3 linked regions of the Elephas maximus indicus genome follow. Each later gene encodes a partner of the first gene's protein in a complex. Links are inferred from orthologs where the notes say so. Each region holds a gene or a part of one and is shown in the gene's direction. Other genes may lie near its edges.

The links.
Region 2: the proteins of PDZK1 (region 1) and AKAP10 are in contact, whole or in part, in a crystal structure (PDB 3TMH), measured with the Homo sapiens proteins. The link is inferred for Elephas maximus indicus from reciprocal best matches to the Homo sapiens genes PDZK1 and AKAP10. Residues at the interface, in NP_001188254.1 of Homo sapiens: Asn386, Gly387, Tyr388, Gly389, Phe390, His391, Leu392, Asn393, Ala394, Ile395, Arg396, Phe402, Lys404, Tyr436, Glu437, Val440, Ile443, Gln444; in NP_009133.2 of Homo sapiens: Pro655, Leu656, Glu657, Lys658, Ser659, Thr660, Lys661, Leu662.
Region 3: the proteins of PDZK1 (region 1) and SLC15A2 are in contact, whole or in part, in a crystal structure (PDB 6EZI), measured with the Homo sapiens proteins. The link is inferred for Elephas maximus indicus from reciprocal best matches to the Homo sapiens genes PDZK1 and SLC15A2. Residues at the interface, in NP_001188254.1 of Homo sapiens: Asn386, Gly387, Tyr388, Gly389, Phe390, His391, Leu392, Asn393, Ala394, Ile395, Arg396, Gln407, Tyr436, Glu437, Val440, Ile443, Gln444; in NP_066568.3 of Homo sapiens: Glu723, Thr724, Lys725, Lys726, Thr727, Lys728, Leu729.

Annotation. Positions count from the first base shown.
Region 1 is NC_064821.1:157,858,678-157,865,949, forward strand, and holds the start of PDZK1 (Na(+)/H(+) exchange regulatory cofactor NHE-RF3), read left to right. Parts: upstream 1-4,222; 5' UTR 4,223-4,384; intron 4,385-4,582; 5' UTR 4,583-4,663; intron 4,664-5,278; exon of another isoform or gene 5,279-5,283; 5' UTR 5,284-5,360; intron 5,361-7,272. UniProt on the Homo sapiens protein: A scaffold protein that connects plasma membrane proteins and regulatory components, regulating their surface expression in epithelial cells apical domains.
Region 2 is NC_064820.1:212,340,375-212,347,993, forward strand, and holds the start of AKAP10 (A-kinase anchor protein 10, mitochondrial), read left to right. Parts: upstream 1-4,579; 5' UTR 4,580-4,712; coding exon 4,713-4,800; intron 4,801-7,619. UniProt on the Homo sapiens protein: Differentially targeted protein that binds to type I and II regulatory subunits of protein kinase A and anchors them to the mitochondria or the plasma membrane.
Region 3 is NC_064819.1:12,437,843-12,445,673, forward strand, and holds the start of SLC15A2 (solute carrier family 15 member 2), read left to right. Parts: upstream 1-4,756; 5' UTR 4,757-4,803; coding exon 4,804-4,941; intron 4,942-7,076; coding exon 7,077-7,164; intron 7,165-7,755; coding exon 7,756-7,831. UniProt on the Homo sapiens protein: Proton-coupled amino-acid transporter that transports oligopeptides of 2 to 4 amino acids with a preference for dipeptides. Transports neutral and anionic dipeptides with a proton to peptide stoichiometry of 2:1 or 3:1.

The DNA of each region.
Region 1 (7,272 bases):
CTTTTAATCCACTACAAGAATGCCCAGACCTTTGCACACGTGGGAACCCAGAACAGGGCATGTTCTTGCTCTGGGCCTCAATTTTTCTTTTGGTAGAAAAGGATTGTGCATTCTGAACCCTCAGCTGGGAGAAGAAATGACCACTAAAATATCCTTTGCAGTCAGCTACAAGTGTTAATAATTCACAGCTCTCCAAGGTCCTTTGGCCTCCCCTGACCTGACACCAGGTTGCTGAAAACACTAGAAAGTTGAGATCTGCTATCTTGTGGGGCCACAATGCCTGTAAAGCAAAGTGGCTGCCTTTCCTCCCACCCATCACTGTGCACTGCTGTAAAACATTCATTGCAGTCCTGCACCTGGACTCTGACCTAATAAATTCCTCCAGAGGTATGCAGACTGCACAGGCTGTTTCTTCAGACGGTGGATGAGGCCAGAGTAGCATGGTGGGGGAGGGGGTAGAAAGGGGAGATTGCCATAAACATTGACTCAGGACAGGGACAGAAAACCACTGGAGCTAAAAATGCCAGGCTCTGAGTCGACGGCACTGGTTTTTGTGAGTTAATGAGCTACCAAAAAGACAGGGTAACACTGAAGCAATCAGATCTGAAATTGGGATAAAAATTCAAGAGTATCAGGGATGGAGCCCAAATGCAAAGGGTGAAGCCTGGAATCTTGTACATAAGAACATCCAGATGGTCCCCAGGAAGCCAGGCAGAATGGTGTAGTAGAAAGGGCATTGACCTTGGAAGCAAAAGCTCAGGGTCTTAGCCCTGTCCCTGCTATGAACTTTTGGAGACCTAAGTTAAGTCAATTCATCTCTCTGAATCCTTTTTCAGAGTAAGAAAATTGAAGTGGTAAGATCAAAATTTCCTGACCAGGGTGCTCAGGTGTGCCACAGGTGGGTTATGGGAATGCCAAGATAATGCTCCCTTTGGGTTTTGAATAGTCTGGGCAGGGCCGAGGGCAACTGAAACCCTCAGGTAGGTCACTTCCAGCCTTGAAAAACTTCTTCTGTTTACTCTGTTATCTAGACATACACCGTAATTTTTAAGTTTTTGAATTTCTTAACCTCATTGTCAGATATGGTACACAGAAAATACATGAATGAAAATGCATAGCTCAATAATTTATCACAACCACCTGTGCGACTACCAGTCAACTCAAGAACTAGAATCTTGCCAGCATCCCAAAAGTCAGTGTAGTGAGTGACCACCTAAACAGGCACCCCAGAAGTTCTGATTTGGAGATGACATAAATGGAATCATAGAATGAAAACAAATGAACTACAGCTCCATATAGCAACATGGATGAATCTCATAAACATCATGCTGAATAAAATAAGCCAGATGCAAACCCTGAACCATTTATTGAAAAAGGCCATTCTTTCCCTCTGTTCTTTGTCATAAATCGATATAAATCATATATGTATGACTGTGTTTCTGGGCTTTCTAAGCTATTCCATTGGTCCATTTGTCCATCTTGTGCCAGTACTATATTAAAGTAGTTATTGTCACTCTACCATCTTGAGATCCACTACAGCAACTCCTTCCTTACTATTTTGTTTTCAGAACTAGCTTATGAAGCTCCATCAACAAAAAAAACAAAGCCTATGGGAAGTTTGTTTGGAATTACATTAATCTGTAAACAATCGTTTTGAAGAGAATTGACATCTTTACAGTATTGAGTCTTCCAATCCATGAATATGGTATAATCTTCATTGGATTTTCTTTAATTGCTTTTGGTGATGTTTTTTAATAGTTTTCTACAAGTATGCCAAAAATATTGGTCCCCTCAACCTTTGGAGAGTCTGGGCAGAGCTCAGAGTTCCTGGTCTCAGGCAGGTCTTTCCAGCGTTGAACAAACACGTCTATTTACTCTAGTGTGCTATACAACTACTATCATTTTCTATGTGTGGCATGATGGGAAAAAGATTGAGAAGTCTTGGGAAGTATTTCTAATTTTCTGTTTCTGACCAGTTGCACCAAATGGTGTGTTGTGAGCAGGCAGGAGCGCCATACATTACTGTTCCAAACATCCCAAACTCCCAAGTTGCCCATTGTGTACTTCTAGCTCATTTATTTTCATTGGCCTGTTTGTATAATGTGTGCCCATAAATTAAGAGGACTGATTCCTTCAAAAAATGAGAATAATAATGTTTCTATGCACCAAGCATTTACCAGGTTCTGGGCACTCTACAAATGTCTTGTTAATTCTCTGACCAACCCTATGAGATTGCAGTATTATTTTTATTATACAGATAAGAAAGCTGGAGGTTGGGATGCAAAGTAACTACTAAATTGTAGAACTACTATTTTTTTTAAATCAACTGAAAACCCTCCTAATAAAGTTCACAGAAATACTGTGGAAAATACATCAAGCATTTTGTCAAATAGATAGTTGAACTTGGAAGAAATGGAAAATAAATCTCTAAGATCCAGAATGAAGAGGAAATGGAAAAGTGGTAACCGGTTTGTGTTCACAGGGTCACTTTGCAACAGGAGATAAAAGCTAGGAACTGAGACCCTGCATAGAGGTGACACCCTCAAAAACTACATTCTCAGTGAAAAGGTGGAAGAAAAACCAGCCCTGTTGGCAAAAGGAGTTTCATTCATTTATTTATTTGATTAATTCATTTGACAACATTTTTTGAAAAGGCTTATATTCTAGGCACTTGGGATGTAGTCAACAAAACAAATACACACCCTGGTGGTATAGTGGTTAAGGGCTACAGCTGCTAACCAAGCGGTTGGCAGTTCATAATCCACCAGGTGCTCCTTGGAAACTCTATGGGGCAGTTCTACTACGTCCCATAGGGTCACTATGAGTTGGAATTGACTTGATGGCAATGGGTTTAGTTTTTTGGTTTTTGGTCCCTGTGGGTATATATATATATGTATATTGTATGTATATACATATGTATGTGTATATACATATGTATGTGTGTGTGTATATATATATAAATGGAAGCCTGAAATGTTGTGGCTATTTGTTCCAGCTGTGCTGGGATAGAAGGCAAGTCTGAGAATCTTGTTGATTGGGAGATGAATGAGTGCTTCATGTGAGAACTGCTTTTTTTTAATTTAAATAGATGTTTTCAGAATCAATTTTACTGACTTATGCTCCTTAAAAAAAGAAAAAAAGGTATTTTTACATGCAATATAATCCAGCTATTTTAGCTGTATACCCATAGCTTGATGAATTTTGGTAACTGGAGACATGTTGCCACTCCCAACACTCAATAAAGTTTCATTCCCTCACCTTAAAAAGTTTTCACTTTAGGCCCTAGATTTTAAGAGGGACACTGACAAATCAGCTGGGCGTCCAGGGTGATAAGAAGTCTTGAAGTTATCACATAGGCTTAAGCCATATGGAATATTCTATAGGCCTTATGGAATGAGGGGCATTCAATGAATCTCTCAGAGTCTCAGAGAAGACTTATGGGGGATAGAAACCAAAATATCCAAACTTGTTGCCCTCGAGTTGTTTCTGACTCATAGCGACCCTGTAGGACAGAGTAGAACTGCTCCATAGGGTTTCCAAGGAGTAGCTGGTGGATTTGAACAGCCAACTTTTTCGTTAGCAGCCAAGCTCTTAACCGCTGTGCCTCCAGGGCTCCTGTGGGGGATATCCAAAACCAAAACCAAACCCATTGCTGTCGAGTTGATTCTGACTCATAACAACCCTATAGGACAGAGTAGAACTGCCCTATAGAGTTTCCAAGGAGTGCCTGGGAGATTTGAACTGTCGACCTTTAGGTTAGCAGCCACAGCACTTAACCACTATGCCACCAGGGTTTCCATGGGGGATATAAAAGAGGGATATAGTTGCCTTCAAATACCTGAAGGACTGCTGTGTAGAATAAAGACTAGATTTAGGATGTAGAGCTCCAGAAGGAACTATTAGGATTTATAGGTAGAGGTGAGAGAAATTTTGACTCAAAATAAAGACCACATTTCTAACAACAATATAACAACAACTATTCACAGATGATGAAAGTGAGACTCAGCGAATTAAATTAGCCTAGATTAAACACCTGCGAAGTGGCAGAGGCCGAATTTGAACCCAGGTGTTCTGGTGCTAAATCCTGATTTTCCCATTATACCTTGCTGCTTTGGAAGATATGCAGAAGGCCCAGAGGGCACGCTTCAGGTGGAAAATAACTGGTATGCGGAAGCTACTCAGGTATTTGTCATTTTCAACCATTTACCAACTGACTCCGGCCATGGCTTTGTTGGGGGCAAAGCCAAGGCACAGTGACAGCAAGAGGCCTTTCCGGCGTGGGTGGAGAAAGGGTGAGGCCACCCGGTCCTCGGCCGCGGTTTGTTTTGTCTCATTGCCTGGAGCAATCTCTTGCCCTTATTTCCAGTGTGGGCTGAGGATGCAGGTCAGTGAGAAACTTGGTGGTAGATTCACCAGTGTGGGTGCTGCTAACAGGGATCAGCTGCTGGTCCTGGCTGGGGCTGGGGCTGGGGCTGGGGCTGGGGCTGGGGCTGGGGCTGGGGCTGGGGCTGGGGCAGTGCAGGAGAGCACCACCCCACTGCCCAGGCAGCAGGGCTGAGGAGCTTTTGAAAATGCCTTCCAGCTACCCAGACATGTTTGCCTGAGACACAAGAAGTGAATACAACTGTCATTAGCTTGGAGATTGAAAACAGAGCACTCTCAGGTGAGAGAGATTAAAAAAAAAAAAAAATGCACGGGAGAAAGGGTATAAAAGGAAGGGAGCTTGGGGAAGAACAGGGGCTTTGAAGGGTGAACTCCCAGGGACTATGCGAGTAAGAACTCTCAGGGTGGGAGTCCATCTTGCCCTATCCACTTGGGCTTAATGGCCTGTTAGCCTTCTACTGGGGCCATGGGTGGGGACTGCACAGGCTGCTGCTCCCCAGGGAGGCCTTGGTGTGTAAGGATGCTCCGGCGATGGCAGCCTGGCTCAGCAGCGACCTTTGCTTGGGGACAATGGAAATGCCTAAGGGGACTAGGTGTTTGTTGAGTGTTGGTTGGCTGTGACCTAGGCATTTGCCTAAGGGAGGGAACTCAGGAAGGCAGAGGTACTTCCTCCCTGGTTGTCTTCCCTTCTTTTCTCTGTCCTGGTCTTTGGGAAGGGCAGGCAAGGAGCAGCATCCCCAGGCAGTTAGGCAGGTGGGCCTAAGTTTTTTGAGTTTGCTGGAGTTTTCCAGGCTTGCCCAGCTCAGGGCCTAGCCAGCTGGCAGGAAGCAGAACAGAGGTCAGACTACAAGTCCCTGTTAAATACATCAACTTTTAAATCGATCTTTGTTCAAAGTTCAGCAAGTTCCAAGACTAGTGCTCATCAACAGAGAGAGTTCCTGAGTGAACGGAACAGCTCCTCTCTTTCCTGGATTCAGGTAAGAACTTCTGACTCTTGCGTCCCCCTGACTGAGGGTACCAGCCACCTGGCCCTGGACCACTGTCTTTCTCTTCTTTTTTTCTTTTCCAAGCAAGCAGCTGGCTTTCTAGGATAGGAGAGAGGCCCATGGGCAAGTTGTCATTGGCCAGGCCCCTGGGTGGGGAAGCAGGGGGTGTGTGCACGTTTGAAATTCTCTTGCGTGATGGACCCCTGACCCTTGCAGGTCAGGGGCTGCCCGACAAAGCAGTTTGTGGAACTGATCCTCAGAGAAAACTTTCCCAGGGTCGTATGGGGATTTGATGTTCAGCCAAAGGGAGACGTCACAGGTCATGAGGAAGTTAACTCCAAGACCTTCTCCACTATTAAGGGGGTTTAGGTATTTGAGATTGTCTTCCAGAAGCTCTTTGTAAAAGACAGAATGTAAGTTAACTTTATCTCATCAGGTAACAGAAATGGGCATCTCTTTTTTTTAAATTTATTTTTTTTATCACATTATAGCACAAAACAATGAGGAAAATCAGTGGGTTTCTAGGGTAGTTGAATTTGAGAATGTAGAACTCCAGTTTCTACCCTTTGGAGATTCTAATTCTTCAGGTCTTGTATAGTCTGAAGTTCTTCTTTTTTTAAGATTTCCCAGGTGATTGTAATATGTAGGCAGGTTTGGGGACCAATAGGAGATTATTTCCTAAGCAGAAGAATCAAGGGACTTAAGTAACCTTCACCTAGTGGTTCACCGTGGAGACAGTCTGGGTTGGCCTCACAAGAGGAACACATTCCTTCTAGTTTACAGTCCCTGCCATACAGCATCAACATGCTCAGTCCTGTATCCAGAAGTCACAGGGCTGAGTGTCTCAGGCCACAACTGTCTGGTCACCTGGAGTCATATGTTCTTCTTGCAGCAACTAACTCAAGGACTTTGAGTTTATGTTTTAATGACTAAGTGAATTGTTCTTATCTTTGACATTTTCATATGTTCTTTGTATCATAAAATATGAAGTAGTTAGTAACGATGGCTTACATTCATAGCCAACTTGCTAGGCAGCTATGTATCATCAAGGGGAGAGGATGCAGGGCTGGGGGAAGAACTGGGTTTTGATTTAGTTGTTAGTGAAAAGTCACTTGGCCAAAGTGAGCCTTGATGTCACCATCTGTCAAATGAAGACCTCATTGTTGCCCCAGGGCTGTACCAAAAATTATAAAAATATGAATGCATTTAGGAGACTAAACACAAAAGTGTAAGGTACTTATGTTACAATGTGTGTATCCAAAAGCTCTGTGGAATAGTGGGAAGAAACAGCCTTGCAGTCAGGTTTTTTAATCTCATTGAAACTCTATTTAAAACCCCAAATCAAACCCATTGCCCTCGAGTCGATTCCGACTCATAGTGACCCTATAGGACAGAGTAGAACTGCCCCACAGGGTTTCCAAGGAGCAGCTGGTAGATTCAAACTGTCAACCTTTTGGTTAGTAGCCATAGCTTTTAACCACTGTTTCACCAGGGCTCCACAAACCTCTATTTCCTAGTTGAAACTAGATGATCGCTAACGGGTTTTCCAGGTCACCAAGGATGTGATAGATGCTGGAGCTTTGAAGCTAGGGTAGTCATTAGCCTCCTGAAGCTGCCCCATTTCTAGAGAATATCTTCATTGCAGGGCTGGGGGTGTTAGCCCTGGTGGTCTTACTGGTTGTGTTCCTAGAGCAGGTATATGCAGTGCCAAGGAATATTCAAAGCCTCAGCCCTCTGTTTTCCCACACTAGCTTTTACAGCTTCCTGGGACCACAAACTCTGAAATGGTCTCCCCCTTCCTCAGATCTTTACATGACTATTTTCTTATCATTTGGGTATGAATTCAAATGCCAACGCCCCAGGAAGGGCTTTCTAAATTGGCCTCCCTCTTCCATCCCACCAC
Region 2 (7,619 bases), on another chromosome or scaffold:
TAGCCTCTGGCTTTGGGGAGGTTACTTTGTTTTTCTATGCCTAGTTTTGTCTACGCTAAGACTGACTCCTAGAGTTGTTAAACCAAAACCCAAACCCAGTGCTGTCAAGTTGATTGGATTCCAACTCATAGTAACCCTATCCCAAAAAAAACCCAGTTTACTGTCTTATAGTAACCCTATAAGACACAGTAAAACCGCCTCATAGGGTTTCCAAGGAGCAGCTGGTGGATTCGAACTACAGACCTTTTAGTTAGCAGCTGAGCTCTTAACCACTGCACCACCAGGGCTCTCCTAGGGCTATTACAAGGGTTAAACTGCAGAGTTTAGCAGAGAACCTGCACGTAGTAAGTTTCAGTAAATATCAACACATCTTACATGCATTTGCAAATGAACCCCAACAAAAATAGACAAATCTATTAACCTGCTCTAGTATTATGGTGAAAAGTTCCTGGGTTCTAGTTCTAGTTTCAACACTGACATACTGAATAATCTCAAGCAAGTTGTCTCCTCTTTTTGAACCTCAGTTTCCTCATTCTTCACATGATTAAAAAATCCAGCCAACATCAACACCCATTCATGACAAAAACCCTCAGAAAAATAGGAATAGAAGGAAAATTCCTGAACATAATAAAGGGCATTTACACAAAGCCAACAGCCCACATCATCATAAATGGAGAGAGTCTGAAAGCATTCCCCTTGAGAAGGAGAACCAAAAAGGAATGCCCTTTATCACCACTCTTATTCAACATTCTGCTGGAGGTCCTAGCCACAGCAATTAGGCTACATAAAGAAATAATGGGCATCCAGATCGGCAAGGAAGAGGTAAAAGTATCTCTATTTGCAGATGACACGATCTTACACACAAAAACCCTAAAGAATCCTCAAGAAAACTACTGAAACTAACAGAAGAGTTCAGCATAGTATTGGGATACAAGATAAACACATAAAAATCAGTTGGATTCCTCTACACTAACAAAAGGAATATCAAAGAGGAAATCACCAAATCAATACAATTAACAGTAGCCCCCAAGAAGATAAAATACTTAAGAATAAATCTTACCAGAGATGTAAAAGACTTACACCAAAAAAACTAAAAAACACTTCTGCAAGAAACCAAGAGAGACCTGTGTAAGTGGAAAAACGTACCTAGCTCATGGATAGGAAAATTTAACATTGTCAAAACGTCTCTTCTACAAAAAGCCATTTATAGATACAATGCAATTCCAATCCAAATTCCAACGACATTTTTTAATGAGATGGAGAAACAAATCACCAACTTCATATGAAAGGGAAAGACACCCCGGATAAGTAAAGCATTCCCGAAAAAAGAAGAACAAAATGGGAGGCCTCACTCTACCTGACTTTAGGACCTATTACACTGCCACAACAGTCAAAACAGCCTGGTACTGGTACAACAACAGATACATAGATCAATGGAACAGAATTGAAAATCCAGACATAAATCAATCCACATATAAGCAGCTGATATTTGAAAAAGGCCCAAAGTCAGTTAAATGGGCAAAAGACCATCTTTTTAACAAATGGTGCTGGCATAAGTGGATATCCATCTGCAGAAAAATGAAACAAGACCCATACCTCACTCCATGCACAAAAACAAACTCAAAATGAATCAAAGACCTAAATATGAAATCTAAAATGATAAAGATTATGGAAGAAAAAATAGGGACAATGTTAGGAGCCCTAATACGTGACAGAAACAGTATACAAAACATCACTAACAATGTAGAAGTGAAACTAGATAACTGGGAGCTCCTAAAAATCAAACACCTATACTCATCCAAAGACTTCACCAAAAGCGTAAAAAGGCTACCTACAGACTGGGAAAAAGTTTTTAGCTATGACATTTCTGATCAGCTTCTGATCTCTAAAATCTACATGATACAACAAAAACAACTACAAAAAGACAAATAACCCAGTTAAAAAATGGGCAAAAGATATCAACAGACACTTCACTAAAGACGACATGCAGGTAGCTAGCAGATACATGAGGAAATGCTCACAATCATTACCATTAGAGAAATGCAAATCAAAACTACAATGAGATTTCATCTCACTCCAACAAGGCTGGCATTAATCCAAAAAGCACAGAATAATAAATGTTGGAGAGGTTGTTGAGAGACTGAACACTTATACACTGCTGGTGGGAATGTAAAATGGTACGACCACCTTGGAAATCGATTTGGAGCTTAAAAAGCTAGAAACAGAACTACCATATGATCCAGCAATCCCACTCCTTAGAATACATTCTAGAGAAATAACAGCCTTTACAGGAACAGATATGTGCACATCCATGTCCACTGCAGCACTATGTACAATAGCAAAAAGATGGAAGCAACCAAGGTGCCCATCAACAGATGAATGGATCAATAAACTACGGTATATATATTTTTTATATTTACACAATGGAACACTACGTATCGATAAAGAACAGCAAAGAATCTGTGAAACGTATCATAACGTGGAGGAATCCGGAAGGCATTATGCTGAGTGAAATTTGTGAGTTGTAGAAGGACAAATATTGTATAAAACCACTATTATAAGAGCTCGAGAAATAGTTTAAACTGAGAAGAAAATATTCTTTCATGGTTACGAGAGGGGGAAGGGAGGGAGGGAGGGAGGGGGTATTCGCTAGATAGCAGATAAGAACTACTTTAGATGAACGGAAAGACAACACACAATACAGGAGAGGTCAGCACAACTGGACTAAACCAAAAGCAAAGTTTCCTGAATAAACTGAATGCATTGAAGGCCAGTGTAACAGGCACAGGGGTTTGGGGATCATGGTCTCGGTATATCTAAGCAATGGGCATAATAAAATATATTAAGAAAACATTCTGCATCCCACTTTGGAGAGTGGCATCTGGGTCTTAAATGTAGTAAGCAGCCATCTAAAATGCATCAATGGGTCTCAACCCTCCTGGAGCAAAGGTGAATGAAGAACACCAAAGACACAAGGTAATTATGAGCCCAAGAGACAGAAAGGGCCACATAAACCAGAGACTACATCAGCCCGAGACCAGAAGAACTAGGTGGTGCCTGGCTACAACAGATGACTACCCTGACAAGGAACAACAGAGAAACCCTGAGGGAGAAGAGCAGTGGGATGCAGACCCTAAATTCTCATTAAAAAACCACACTTAATCATCTGACTGAGACTAGAAGAACCCCAGAGACAGAACTTCTGTTAGCCCAAGACAGGAACCATTCCCAAAGCCAACTCTTCAGACAGGGATTGGACTGGACAACAGGATAGAAAATGAGGCTAGCGAAGAAAGAGCTTCTTGGATCAAGTAGACGCATGAGACTATGTTGGCATCTCCTACCTGGAGAAGATATGAGAGGGCAGAGGCGTCAGAAGCTGGCTGAATGGACTCAAAAAGAGAGAGTGGAAGTAAGGAGTGTGCTGTCCCATTAGAGGAAGAGCAATTAGGAGTACACAGCAAGGTGTATGGAAACCCTGGTGGCGCAGTGGTTAAGTGCTGCGACTGCTAACCAAAGGGTCGACAGCTCGAATTCACCAGGCACTCCTTGGCAACTCTATGGGGCGATTCTACTCTGTCCTATAGGGTCACTGTGAGTTGGAATTGACTCAACGGCACTGGGTTTGGTTTTCGGCGGGTTAGCAAGGTGTATAAAAATTTTTGTATGAGAGACTGACTTCATTTGTAAACTTTCACTTAAAGCACAATAAAAACTAAAAAAAAATCGAGCCAACACTTACTGAGCTTCTACTACCAGACACACTATCTTCCTGGCTCCCTCCCTGGCAGGAGCTAAGGGCTACAAACAGTGACCTATTCTACTTGGCAGAGTGCACTCAAGAGAGTGGTGACAGATACTAAAGGGGTGGAGGCTTGATTTCACTGCTACAGGAATAGAGTGAGGGTCCGAAGATTCACAGGGAAAATGACATTTGAAGAAGACTTGAAGGATGATTCACTGGCGCTTGCCTTTCAAATTCCAGCATTCGCAGAGATCACCTTATGAAAATAAGCCCACTTCTCTTTTCTCATTTCCGAGGTCACTGTGACAAAAGAATTCACCGGAGCTGCATGAAGCAGTTCACGTCTCCTATTCCCCACCAAGATTCTCGCACACATCGAAGCCCCTTAAGAGAGGAGGGGCTGGAGGTGCACGCTGAAGCCAGTCCATGCCGGCCAGCGTCTAATTTTAGAAAATCTCAAACGGAAAAACACTGAGGGGTTAAGCTGAGCGTAGCACTGGTGGCCCAGCCTCTAGAAGAGCGCTCCAAGAGCCGCGCGTTATCTCGAAGGACCGGGGAGCTCCGGGAAGGATCCTGCTCCAGGAGGATTCCTTTGCAAAGATGGGGTCTACAGCGTAGGAGCCATTATCTACACTACCGGCAGCGTAGCAGAGCTGACGATGCCGACTGCTTCAACATCCACACTCCGGGAGATGGGCGCAGGTCGCACTCCCGCAAGGTCACGTGAGCGACGCGGACACGTGCCTGCACCCTGGAGAGAGTCGCAGGCGGGGCCGGCCGCCCAGCCTCCCGTGAAGCCTCGCGCGGGGAAGGACCGGAACTCCGGGTGGGCGGCTTGTTGATAATATGGCGGCAGGCACTGCCCAGGCATCTCTAGGAGGCAGTAGGGCCCACACCCGGAAGAAGGGTTTGTTTTCGGGCTAGTGCGGCGGCTGAGGCAGACCCGGAAGTCCGGGCCAGTTGCTGAATGAGGGGAGCCGGGCCCTCCCCGCGACAGTCCCCCCGGGCCCTCCGCCCTGACCCGGGCCCCGCCATGTCCTTCTTCCGGCGGAAAGGTAGCTGAGGGGCGCCGCCGAGGCGGCGGGGGGCGGGGGGCGGAGGGCGAAGGGGGAAGGGGGAAAGGGGCGGTGGGCCTAGTAGGGCTTCTCTCCGCTGTGGCTGCGAAACTCTTACTGAGCCGCTCGACCTCCGTGCAAAGACCCCTTGCTCTGCTCCGGGAATTTGCTGGGAGGGAGAAAGTGGCCTCCTCGTGCGTGGTCAGAGAGAAATTGTCGCGCTGCTACAAGAGTGTTGCTGTAACCCGTGGAAGTTAATACCTGCTTGCGTAAAGGCAGCTTTTCGGTTTATTTGCGTAATATGCCTCAAAAAAAAGAAAATATGTTTAGTACTTTGTTACAGGAAGTCTCTGATATTTCAGAATACTGAGGGTTTTGTTTTTAAAGGCAACGCGTGAAAAATTTTTTTCAACTAGTGCTATTTTCCAGTTTCGTATTTTCTGGGGGGAGAGGGCGGGAGGACTACTGCTGTTTCTAAAATAACATTACTTAGCTTATGCTAAAAGTTCGCTAATAAAGAGGACTACTTCTTTTGATGATTTAGCATGTTTATTAACCACTGGAAACCTAACTTTATAAAAAACTACGTATATATCTGATTTTCAGTTGTAGTAACTGCCCACATTCTAAGTAGAGACAGCTTGGTTCTTGATCCTGGGTAAAAAAAAAAAAAAAGTTGTATTTCATTAAAATTACATTTCCAAAGTGAACAAGTGTGAGTCTCTTTTGATGGTAGTGTCTCTGTGTCAATTCTTGCTTCAGAGAAAGTGTACCGCGCATAGGTGGGTTTTGGAAAAAGCACTAAACTAAATCAAGGACTTGGGTGCACATGATAGCTCTACTACTAACTGTAAAAAAAAAAACCACTGCTTGGTAAAATTCCTTAACTACTCTCAACTGAAAATGAGGTGATTCTAAGGCTCCATTCAATTCTTGACTAAGCAAATTAAAGAATTTCCGTATGTTTTTGGGGTTTTAGTAACTGATGCCAGGTGATAAACAGTGGTGAATGAATGAAATTGGTAAAATAGCATAAGGAAGCTTTTTTGTTAAGGTAATTGCTCTCATTTGAGAGTGTCGAAGTGATGAGTTTTTGTTTTTGTTTTTTTAAAGGGGATAAAAGCATTCTAAGTATTAAAATAAAAAAAAAAAACCCAAGTATAGTGAAGCAAATTGCAATTTAACGCAACAGATTGTTGTCTCTATACAACACTTACTGAGTGCCATCTATCTGCCAGGCACTGTGCTAAGCCCTCACGATTGAGCAATGAACAAAACAAAGTCTCTGCACTAATGGAGGTTATTGTCTGCTTGGATAGACAGACAATAAACAAACAAAACTTTGTATTTACACACGTATGTTGTTGTTAGATGCCCTCCAGTTGGTTCCGATTCATAACGAGCCTATTTATAACAAAACAAAACACTGCCGGGTCCTGCAATACCCTCACAATAATTGCTGTGTTTGAGCCTGTTGTTGCAGTATTCTTTGCCAACACCGTAATTCAAATGTGTCAGTTCTTTGGCCTTTATTATTGTCCAGCTTTCTCATGAGTGTGAGGTGATTGAAAATACCAGGCTTGGGTCAGGCACATCTTAGGTCAGAATGTTCAAAGTGACATATTTGTTTTTCAACACTTTGAAGAGGACTTTCGCAGCAGATTTGCCAAATGCGATACAAAATTTGATTTCTTGACTGCTGCTTCCATGGGTGTTGATTGTGGATCCAAGAAAGTGAAATCCTTGACAATTTCAGTACTTTCTCCGTTTATCATGACGTTGCATATTGGGCCAGTTGTGAGGATTTCTGTTTTCTTTATGTTGTGGTGTAATTGATAATGAAGGCTGTAACCTTTGGTCATCATTGGTAAGTGCTTCCAAGACAGATTTGTTTGTTCTTCTGGTAGTCCATGGTATATTCAATATTCTTCCCCAACACCGTAATTCAAACACACCAGTCCTTCAGTCTTTCTTACTCATTGTTTAGCTTTCGCATGCCTATGAGGCAGTTGAAAATGTCATGGCTTGGGTCAGGCATGCCTTATTCCTCAAAATGACATCTTTGCCTTTTAGCACTTTAAAAAGTTCTTTTGCAGCAGATTTGCCCAGTGCTATAGATTGTTTGGAAACCCTGGTGGCGTAGTGGTTAAGTGCTACGGCTGCTAACCAAAGGGTTGGCAGTTCAGATCTGCCAGGCGCTCCTTGGAAACTCTATGGAGCAGTTCTGCCCTGTCCTGTAGGGTCGCTATGAGTCAGAATCGACTCGATGGCACTGGGTTTGGTTTTTTGGATTCGTATAGGTCGGTTGGAGCCCTGGTTACACAGTGGTTAAGGCTTGCCTGCTAACCAAAAGGTTGGCAGTTTGATTCCATCAGCCACTTCTTGGAAACCCTATGGGGCAGTTCTACTCTGTCCTGTAGGGTCGCTATGAGTCGGAATTCACTCGATGGCAACAAGTTTTGTTTTGCTTTTTGATACTGTGATGGTTAAGATTGTGTGTCAACTTGGCTAGGCCATGATTCTCAGTGTTTTGGCAGTCATGTGATGTGGTCACTTCACTTTTGAGATTTGATATGTGAACACCCCCATGAGGGGATCTGCTGTGAATAGCCAATCGGTTGAAGGGGAGTTTCCTTGGGTGTGTGGGCAGACCTTCTGAGAGGGCTCGGGAGCTTTTGTTCATCCTGGATCCTGCAGCTGGCTCCTGTTCGTCTGACCTCTGGTTCTTGGGTCTCGAGCTTGCAGCTTACCTGCAGTCTTGCTGGCTGATCTTGGGATTCATTGATCTTCACAGCCTGTGAGCAAGAGCCCTGCTCTCT
Region 3 (7,831 bases), on another chromosome or scaffold:
TCTACATATAAATGTAATGCAATATCAGTCTCTAAATGATCTTGAAATTTATGTGGAAAAATAAATGCCCAAATAAGAGAAAGAATAGTGAGCAGACTTGCCTTATCAGATGCCAGAACATATTCTATATATTCAAAGCCACTATAATCAAATAATTGACACAGGAATAAATAGATCAATGAAACAAAATATAAAATTCTCATATATATTGGGAGAGATTCAATAGATCCCAATATATATGAGATTTTAATATACAACAAGGTAAGACTTCAATTATAATGGAAAAGATTGAGTTCTTTATAAATGGTGCTGGCATAACTGACTATCCATTGAAACAAAAGAATATTAGAACTCTGTTTTACATAAAGCTTATGGCCCTCAAAGACTAGAGACTGAAATATTTACTCTCTGGCCCTTTACAGAAGACCCTTTACATTTTTACAGAAAACGTATGCCAATCCCTGTTATACACTATAGGTGTAACATAGGAGTAGAAGAGACCTTTTTAACCAAGATAGGGCACTTGAAACTGTAAGAAACAAAACAAAACAAAAACCAAGGATACATTTGACCCAGTACATTATTTGCAAATGACAGGACTGTGTGCATAAAAAATCTAAATAATCTCAAACTTTTAAAATAAGTAAGTTCATATATGTGCATGTATACCCAAAACGAAATCAACCCCACTGCCGGCGAGTCTATTCCAACTCATAGCGACCCTATAGGACAGAGTAGAACTGCCCCACAGAGTTTCCAAGGAGCGCCTGGTGGATTCCAACTGCCGGCTTTTTGGTTAGCAGCTGTAGCACTACGCCATCAAGGTTTCCACATGTGTGTGTATACCTAGGTATGTATGTGTATATATATATATATATGTATTACGAATATGTGTGTAGGCCTGCTGGTGCAACAGTTAAGTACGCGGTAGCTAGCTGTAAGTTTGGTGGTTCAAATCCACCCAGTGGCTCTTGGGGAGAAAGACCTGGCAATCTGCCTCATGTAAAGATTAAAAAAAAAAGATTACAGCCTAGAAAACCCTATGAGGCAGCTCTGCTCTGTCACATGGAGTCTCTATGAGTTGAAATTGACTTGATGGCACCTAACAGCAGCATATGTATGGAGGGAGAGAGACCTAGAAACATACAGGGAAGGTGGTTCTGGGAAATGTAGCTCCTAGCTTAAACTAAGTTGACAATAGCACAACCTTAAAACTGGAAATATCCCAAATGGTCATCAACAGAAGAATGGGTAAGTAAATTGTGACTTATATAGTGAACGCTACCAAACAGTGGAGAAAAACATATACTACTACAGGCAGCAACATGGATAGATCTCACACACATAATGTTGAGTAATAGAAATCAAGCACAAAGAATACAAAAGGTATTATTCCATTTATATAAAGTTTCCAAACAGGCAAAACACATTTATGCTGATAGCGATCAGAATAGTGATTACCTTGGGGAAGGGGGGTTTGTCTGGGAGGCAGAAGGGAAGCAACAGGTATTGCTCTCTGAAGGGTACCTCAAGGTGTACCTCATAAGCTAAACTATACTTACAGTGCTTAAGAAAATACCTCCTGTGGAGAGGGTGTGGTTGGCAAAAAAAAAAAAATGTATAATGGCATGTGCTGTTTTTGTAAAAATACAGTATATGTTAAAACAAAAATTAACAGATTCCCTGTATTTCTGAATTCAGTGCCTTTCAATATCCCAACTTTCTTATATTTCCATTGCATAGGACTTCCAGCATTGAGGTGCCAGAAATGTTGTATATATTATTTGAGTGGTGGTTGTATGAGTTATATGTATGTGTTATATTTATACTGTGTGAGTTATATGTATGTCAAAGCTGTATGCTTAAGATCTATGTGCTTTACTATGTTGTATTTAACTTTAAAAATCCATAAATAAAATCAATAGGAAATCTTTGCCACAAAGAGGCATTAATATCAATAATACACAAATAGCTCTTAGAAATTTACAAGAAGGGGACAAACAACTCAGTAGAAAAATGGGCAAAAGGCATGAACAGGAAGTTCTAAACATTACAAAAAAATACTTTTGGCTCAGCAGTTTCACTTCTAAAAATATATTCTACAGATACATTTGTCTTATATGCCAGTTATTGGAGAATTGTGTAGAATAGCAAAAAACTCTAGAGCTAGTTAAATGAACTGAATTTATATCCATATATTTCTTTGGGGTCCATATTTGGAAGCAAGTTGTTAGGTCATAGACTATGAGTATATACAGTTTTGGTAGAAGTTGCCCAGCAATTTCCCAGACTGGTTATACCAATTTGCACTTCCACCAGCAATGTATGAGAATTACAGTTGCTTTAACATTTTCACCAACACTAGATAGTGTCTTTTTTTTTAAGTCATTCTGGTGGTTCTATAGTGGTATCACATTAATTCTTTCAATTTTCATTTCCCTAATGACTAATAAAGTTGATAACCAGCTCACAGATTTATTGGCCATTTCGATATCTTCTTTTGTGAAATATCGTTTCAAATTTTTTGATAATTTTTTACTTGATTATCCACCTTTTTGTTATGGATTTTTAGAGTTATTTATATAGTCTGAACACAAATCCTTTGCCAGATGTGTGCGATACGAATGATTTCTCTCATTCTGTGAGTTGTGTTTTCACTGTTAATGGTGTCTTCTGATGAACTAGTTAACTTACTAGTAAATTCTGAGCATTTTGTTTTGCATACGGAATCATTAACCAAATTATGTCAGAAAGAGTAATATTTCCTGGGACAATAACTACAGTTTAATCATTAATGTCACAGTCAGAAAAGACGCCTGTCTCTTTTTGGTAAAGTTTGGTGGGAGAGCAGGGGAAATGAGAACTGTAATAGAGAAGCTGAGAGACTTGGTCAAAGTCTGACATAAAGTTCAGGGAGGAAAGCATAGTTTATCCCAGCCTTGTGTCAATAAATTACTCAGATAGGTAGTCTGAGAACTTTGCGAGGGGATAGGATCCTGGATTCTCTGTTTCTCCCTAGTATTTTCAAACAAAATAATCCTTTCTTGTGTTGCCTGACTTCTTTGGGTTGGTCCTCATTTTTCTTTCCTTATTTCTTTCATAGTTCTCTGACCATTGGTTTCCCTTTTCTTTTGACTAACCACTAGAAGGGCACTGTGATCTTTTGTTCTTCTTTTACCTCTCAGCAAAAAGAATACAATATGACATGTATTTGTCACACCATGCCTGTTCTTATTTCTCCTCTGATGGGGACTATGTACTATATTCTGGAGTTATTGGGGAATCTAGCCACTAAAAATTAAGGAAATCATGTTTGCAACAGTACCTAGAAAGAAATTGCTTCACATCATTGGCTCAAATTAATTATTTTATCTTATTTATTTATGGTTTTTAGGGAAAGGATGGTTTCATCTCAAAGTGAGAATGAAAATACAGGGAATGACTTTAGCAAAAAACAATGACTCCCAAACATACATCACCAACCTATTTCTCTTGTTTTCTTTAGTCCTACCTCTTTAATTGCTTATAGTATATTTCTGGCTGAACTTTATTACCCTACTTTTAAGCAAACGAGGAGCACACATGTTACTTTTGTTTGTCCTCCTCCCACCCCCACTAGGTGTACCTCATAAGCTAAACTATGATTATAGCGCTTAAAATACCTCCTGGGTAGAGGGTGTGGTTGGCAAAAAAAAATGTTTAACGGCATGTGCTATTTATGTAAAAATGTGGTATATGTTACAAGAAAAATTAACATACTTCCTATATCTCTAAATTCAAGGCATCTCAATATCCCAGCTTCCTTATATTTCCATTGCATAGCCGCCATCCTAATGGAGATCCTTAAGCCTGCATACCTAAATCATGGCCATAGGCATTACTGATACTAATCTCTACCTTTTATGTCTGTTTGTCATGACATAGTGGAAATTCCAGATCTGTGGCTTGCTAGCCATGTGACTTTGGGCAAATTAACCTTTTAGAACTTGAGTTTCTGCAAAATGGGGATAGCTGTAAGAAGTAGAGAGGGTCCCTAGGTGGTAGAAATGATTAAGGCACTTCACAGCTAACTGAAAGGTAGGAGGTTCAAGTCCTCAGAGGTGCCCAGGAAGCAAGGGCTGGTGAGCTACTTACAGAAAATCAGCCATTGAATACCGTATTGAGCACAGTACTACTCTGATACACATGAAGTTGCCATTGAGTCAGAATTGACTCAATGGCAACTTTTTTTCTTTTTGGTAGTAAGAATTAGAATATACAAAAATATATATTATCTAGATCGTATATGTAATTCATGTATATATACTCATAATGACTCATAACGACCCTATAGGACAGAGTAGAACTGCCCCCATAGGGTTTCCAAGGAGCAGCTAGTGGATCTGAACTGCCGCCGACCTTTTGGCTGGCAGCTGAATCACTATGCCACCAGGGCTCCCTAGCATATAATAGGTATTCAATAAATGACAGTTACTGTTACCCTGAAATCAAGTGTTTAATCTTGCTTGAGGTATCGCATGCTTAATTAGGACTCATTTGTAGGAAATATTTCTTAAACATTCTGTTCCTTATCAATTCTCTAGCACCTTCTCCTTGCTCTCACCTTTTACATAATCATTCTTTGGAACAGGTCTCTAACCCTCAACCTTTCTTTTCCTATAGCTTCGGGCTCTGTTCTGAGCCAGCTGCTGAAGCCAACACCCACAGGGTTAAACCTAGTTGCTGAAGCCACCTCCCCCTCCTGCTGCCAGTTCCCCTTCTTACAGAAGGCTGGCAGCTGACCCAACTGCCTCCCTGAGCCAAATGGCTCAGGAGAGAGAGAGTAAAGAGACAGCCATGAATCCCTTCCAGATAAATGTGTCCAAGGAAATTCTTTTTTCACCTGTGTCCGCTGAAGAGGTATCACCTGGACCTCCAGACCCTCCAGAGAAGTCACCTCCGGTGAGTCCCCAGATTCAGTTCTCACTCTAACAGGATTAGCCTTGTTCTTTGAGCTTTCCTGATTGGCCTCTAGAGCCCCAGCCTAAGCTGAATTAGGATATAGAAATGATTCTTGCCTAGGGTTAGAATTAGGAACCTGGTGGTGCTCTGGTTAAGCCATTGACTGGTAATCGGATTTGAACCCACAGTTCCGCGGGAGAAAGAGATGGCAATCTGCTTCGCTAAAGATTTACAGCCTTGGAAACTCTATAGGGCAGTTCTGCTCTGTCCTACAGGGTTGCTATGAGTCAGAATCCACACAAGGGCAACATCTTTTTTTTTTTTTTTAAGAGTTAGAATTAATGTAAAAAACCAAGTCTGAACTGAAGCTACCTTTACTTAGAGAGGGAGGAAGCAGCAGGAAGAGGTAGTCAGAGTTCTTCAGCTGGGACCCAGGGTTTTGCTGTAGTTCATTGTATATTCTGAGTTTTGTTTCCCTGAGGGGAAAAAACACAGCCATTTGAATGTCCAGGGAAACTTGGCAGGCATGCCTGTCTGGAGAACTGTGTGTGATTGTTCTTGTTTTACCAAATAAAAAAACTTAGCCTGTAGTTCTCCCTGTGTGCGGGGCTTATGTAGAGCACCCAGAGAAGTTTTAGAATAGACTCAGTCTCTCCTACAATGCCTTCCTAGTTGACAGTGGGAGGTAAGGCAAAGAAACAAAGAAATAATCATAAAGTTTTGCATCATATACTTGTTAAAACACTTCCAAATTTGTTATCTCATTCAGTCCTCCTATCAAAATCCTGTGAGAGGAGAGGATATAATAATAAAAAAAAAAAAAAAAAAAAGATTTATTGAGTTCTTACTATGGGCCAAGAAGTGGTGTAATTCACATTTCTTTGGAATAACAGAACTGAGACATAAGGCACTTGCAGTGTACCGACCCGTATTAGTATGTTAAACACAGCTAGTGCCAGTGTTAGCTGGCTAGTGACAGCGTGTTAACTGAACTGCAGGTAACATAACTCTCAAGCTGTGAGCTGGGAAGTTGAAAATCCTAGTTCATCGTGTCTTTCATGCAAAATATTATCATGCATTAACATATATTAATACTTAGGGGCATTATTTGTATGTATATATATGAGCAAATGAATAAATATATTAATTTGTTTTGTCTAGTTTTATCTTTTATGGCCCCGAAGGATTTTAGGCTGCTTACAAAGATGTACACATTTATCATGCACTAAGAAAAGAACCAGAGACAGTGTAAATGTCATGATAAGATTTGACTGTCCCAAGGGCAGACCTCCCCACCACCCGCCCCCCTCAGGTTAGTTGGGCTATCGTAGTGGATAGAGGGACTCGTAATAAAACATGGCATTCCTTATATTCTGGCTTGTATACTACATGAAATAGACTAGTCCTTTTAATGTCCAGTAGGATTATCCTGAAAATGTTATAATATCACTTTGGCAGGAAGAGTGGACATTTAGTTTTATAGGATTTAAGGCTTGACACAACAGCTTTTTTTTTTTTTTTTTTTTTTAAAGAATCCTCTGCCCAAAGTCAACGCGATCTATCAGCTTCCCTTTAGGATTTTTGCCTTCCGTGTTGGGCTCTGTGCCTGGCTCCAACAGCCCCTGCATTGGAAATCATTATATTGCCAGGACTTCTCCCATCATGGTAAAGAAGGCACTCTATATGTGTCAAGTGAGGAATAGAGGGGCCAGTCTCCACAGAGAAACTAGGCAGAATACTGATATCTGAATCTAACTGCGTGGACATCAGGCATTCCACAGACCACCTCTTCATCCTGTTCATTGAAATACGGCTGATTATTCTTCTGGCCAGAGCTCCCAACTTTTCATTTACTAGCTATGGGAAAGTAAGCAGGTCCTGTATCTAGGGCCAAGGAATGTCTGAGCAGTTCTATTTTAAATGAATGAGGAACAAAGTAATATTCAGACTTGCTTCTTTTACTCCTAAATCAGCAATTCAAACACTTGTTAGTGTGATAAAAACCGTTTCATAAAGAATTCCCACAATACCTATCAATGAGATAGGAAAAAATGAATTTTGCTATTGAGGAACAATCTAGTGGCTAAAGTAGGGAAAACGACTCATGCCTGAATCATTGCCTTTTTGTTTCATAGAAATTCTGTGGCACCAACTATCCACTGAGCATTGCCTTCATTGTGGTGAATGAATTCTGCGAACGCTTTTCCTATTATGGCATGAAAGGTATCTTGGTGTCCCAGTGTCCTGCGTTTCTCCACTCACCCCCTCTTACAACAGTCCAGCCTCCTTGAAGGGGCTTATTTCTCTTACCTACTCTTCCCACCTTAGTCCACGCTGGTCCCTTTGGCCAAGATTTCCAGTACATGCCTCATGGAATTCACCTAGTAACTCCTACAGGCCAAGAACAGAAGGGTCTGATAGAAACCAGAACATGGTCTGTGAGGATGTAAGTGGGAAAGCTCTTGTCATCCGAGTCCCATTCTTCATACATCTTCCTCAGGCTTTTGAACCATATTGCTGTTGAGAAAGAAAAGAAAGGGGTGTTGGAAACACCATGTTATCTTCAAGGTTGGTCTAGATGCTGCTATGAGTGTACATAGACTTGAGGAAGAAGTATTGAATTTGTACACTCAGCATAGCTCCATTCAATGCCATAGCTCCATAGACCCTGCTGCTATTTTCCGCCCCACTCATATCACTGATAGGAGGGCTGAAGGCCAAGATTACCTTCAAAGACCAGAGATCAAATACATTCCTCCTTCAAAAATCGCTTTAATGCATCTACCTTGTTTGTCTCCCTTTTTTCCATCTCAGCTGTGCTGACCCTGTATTTCTTGTATTTCCTCCACTGGGATGAAGATACCTCCACATCTGTCTACCATGCCTTCAG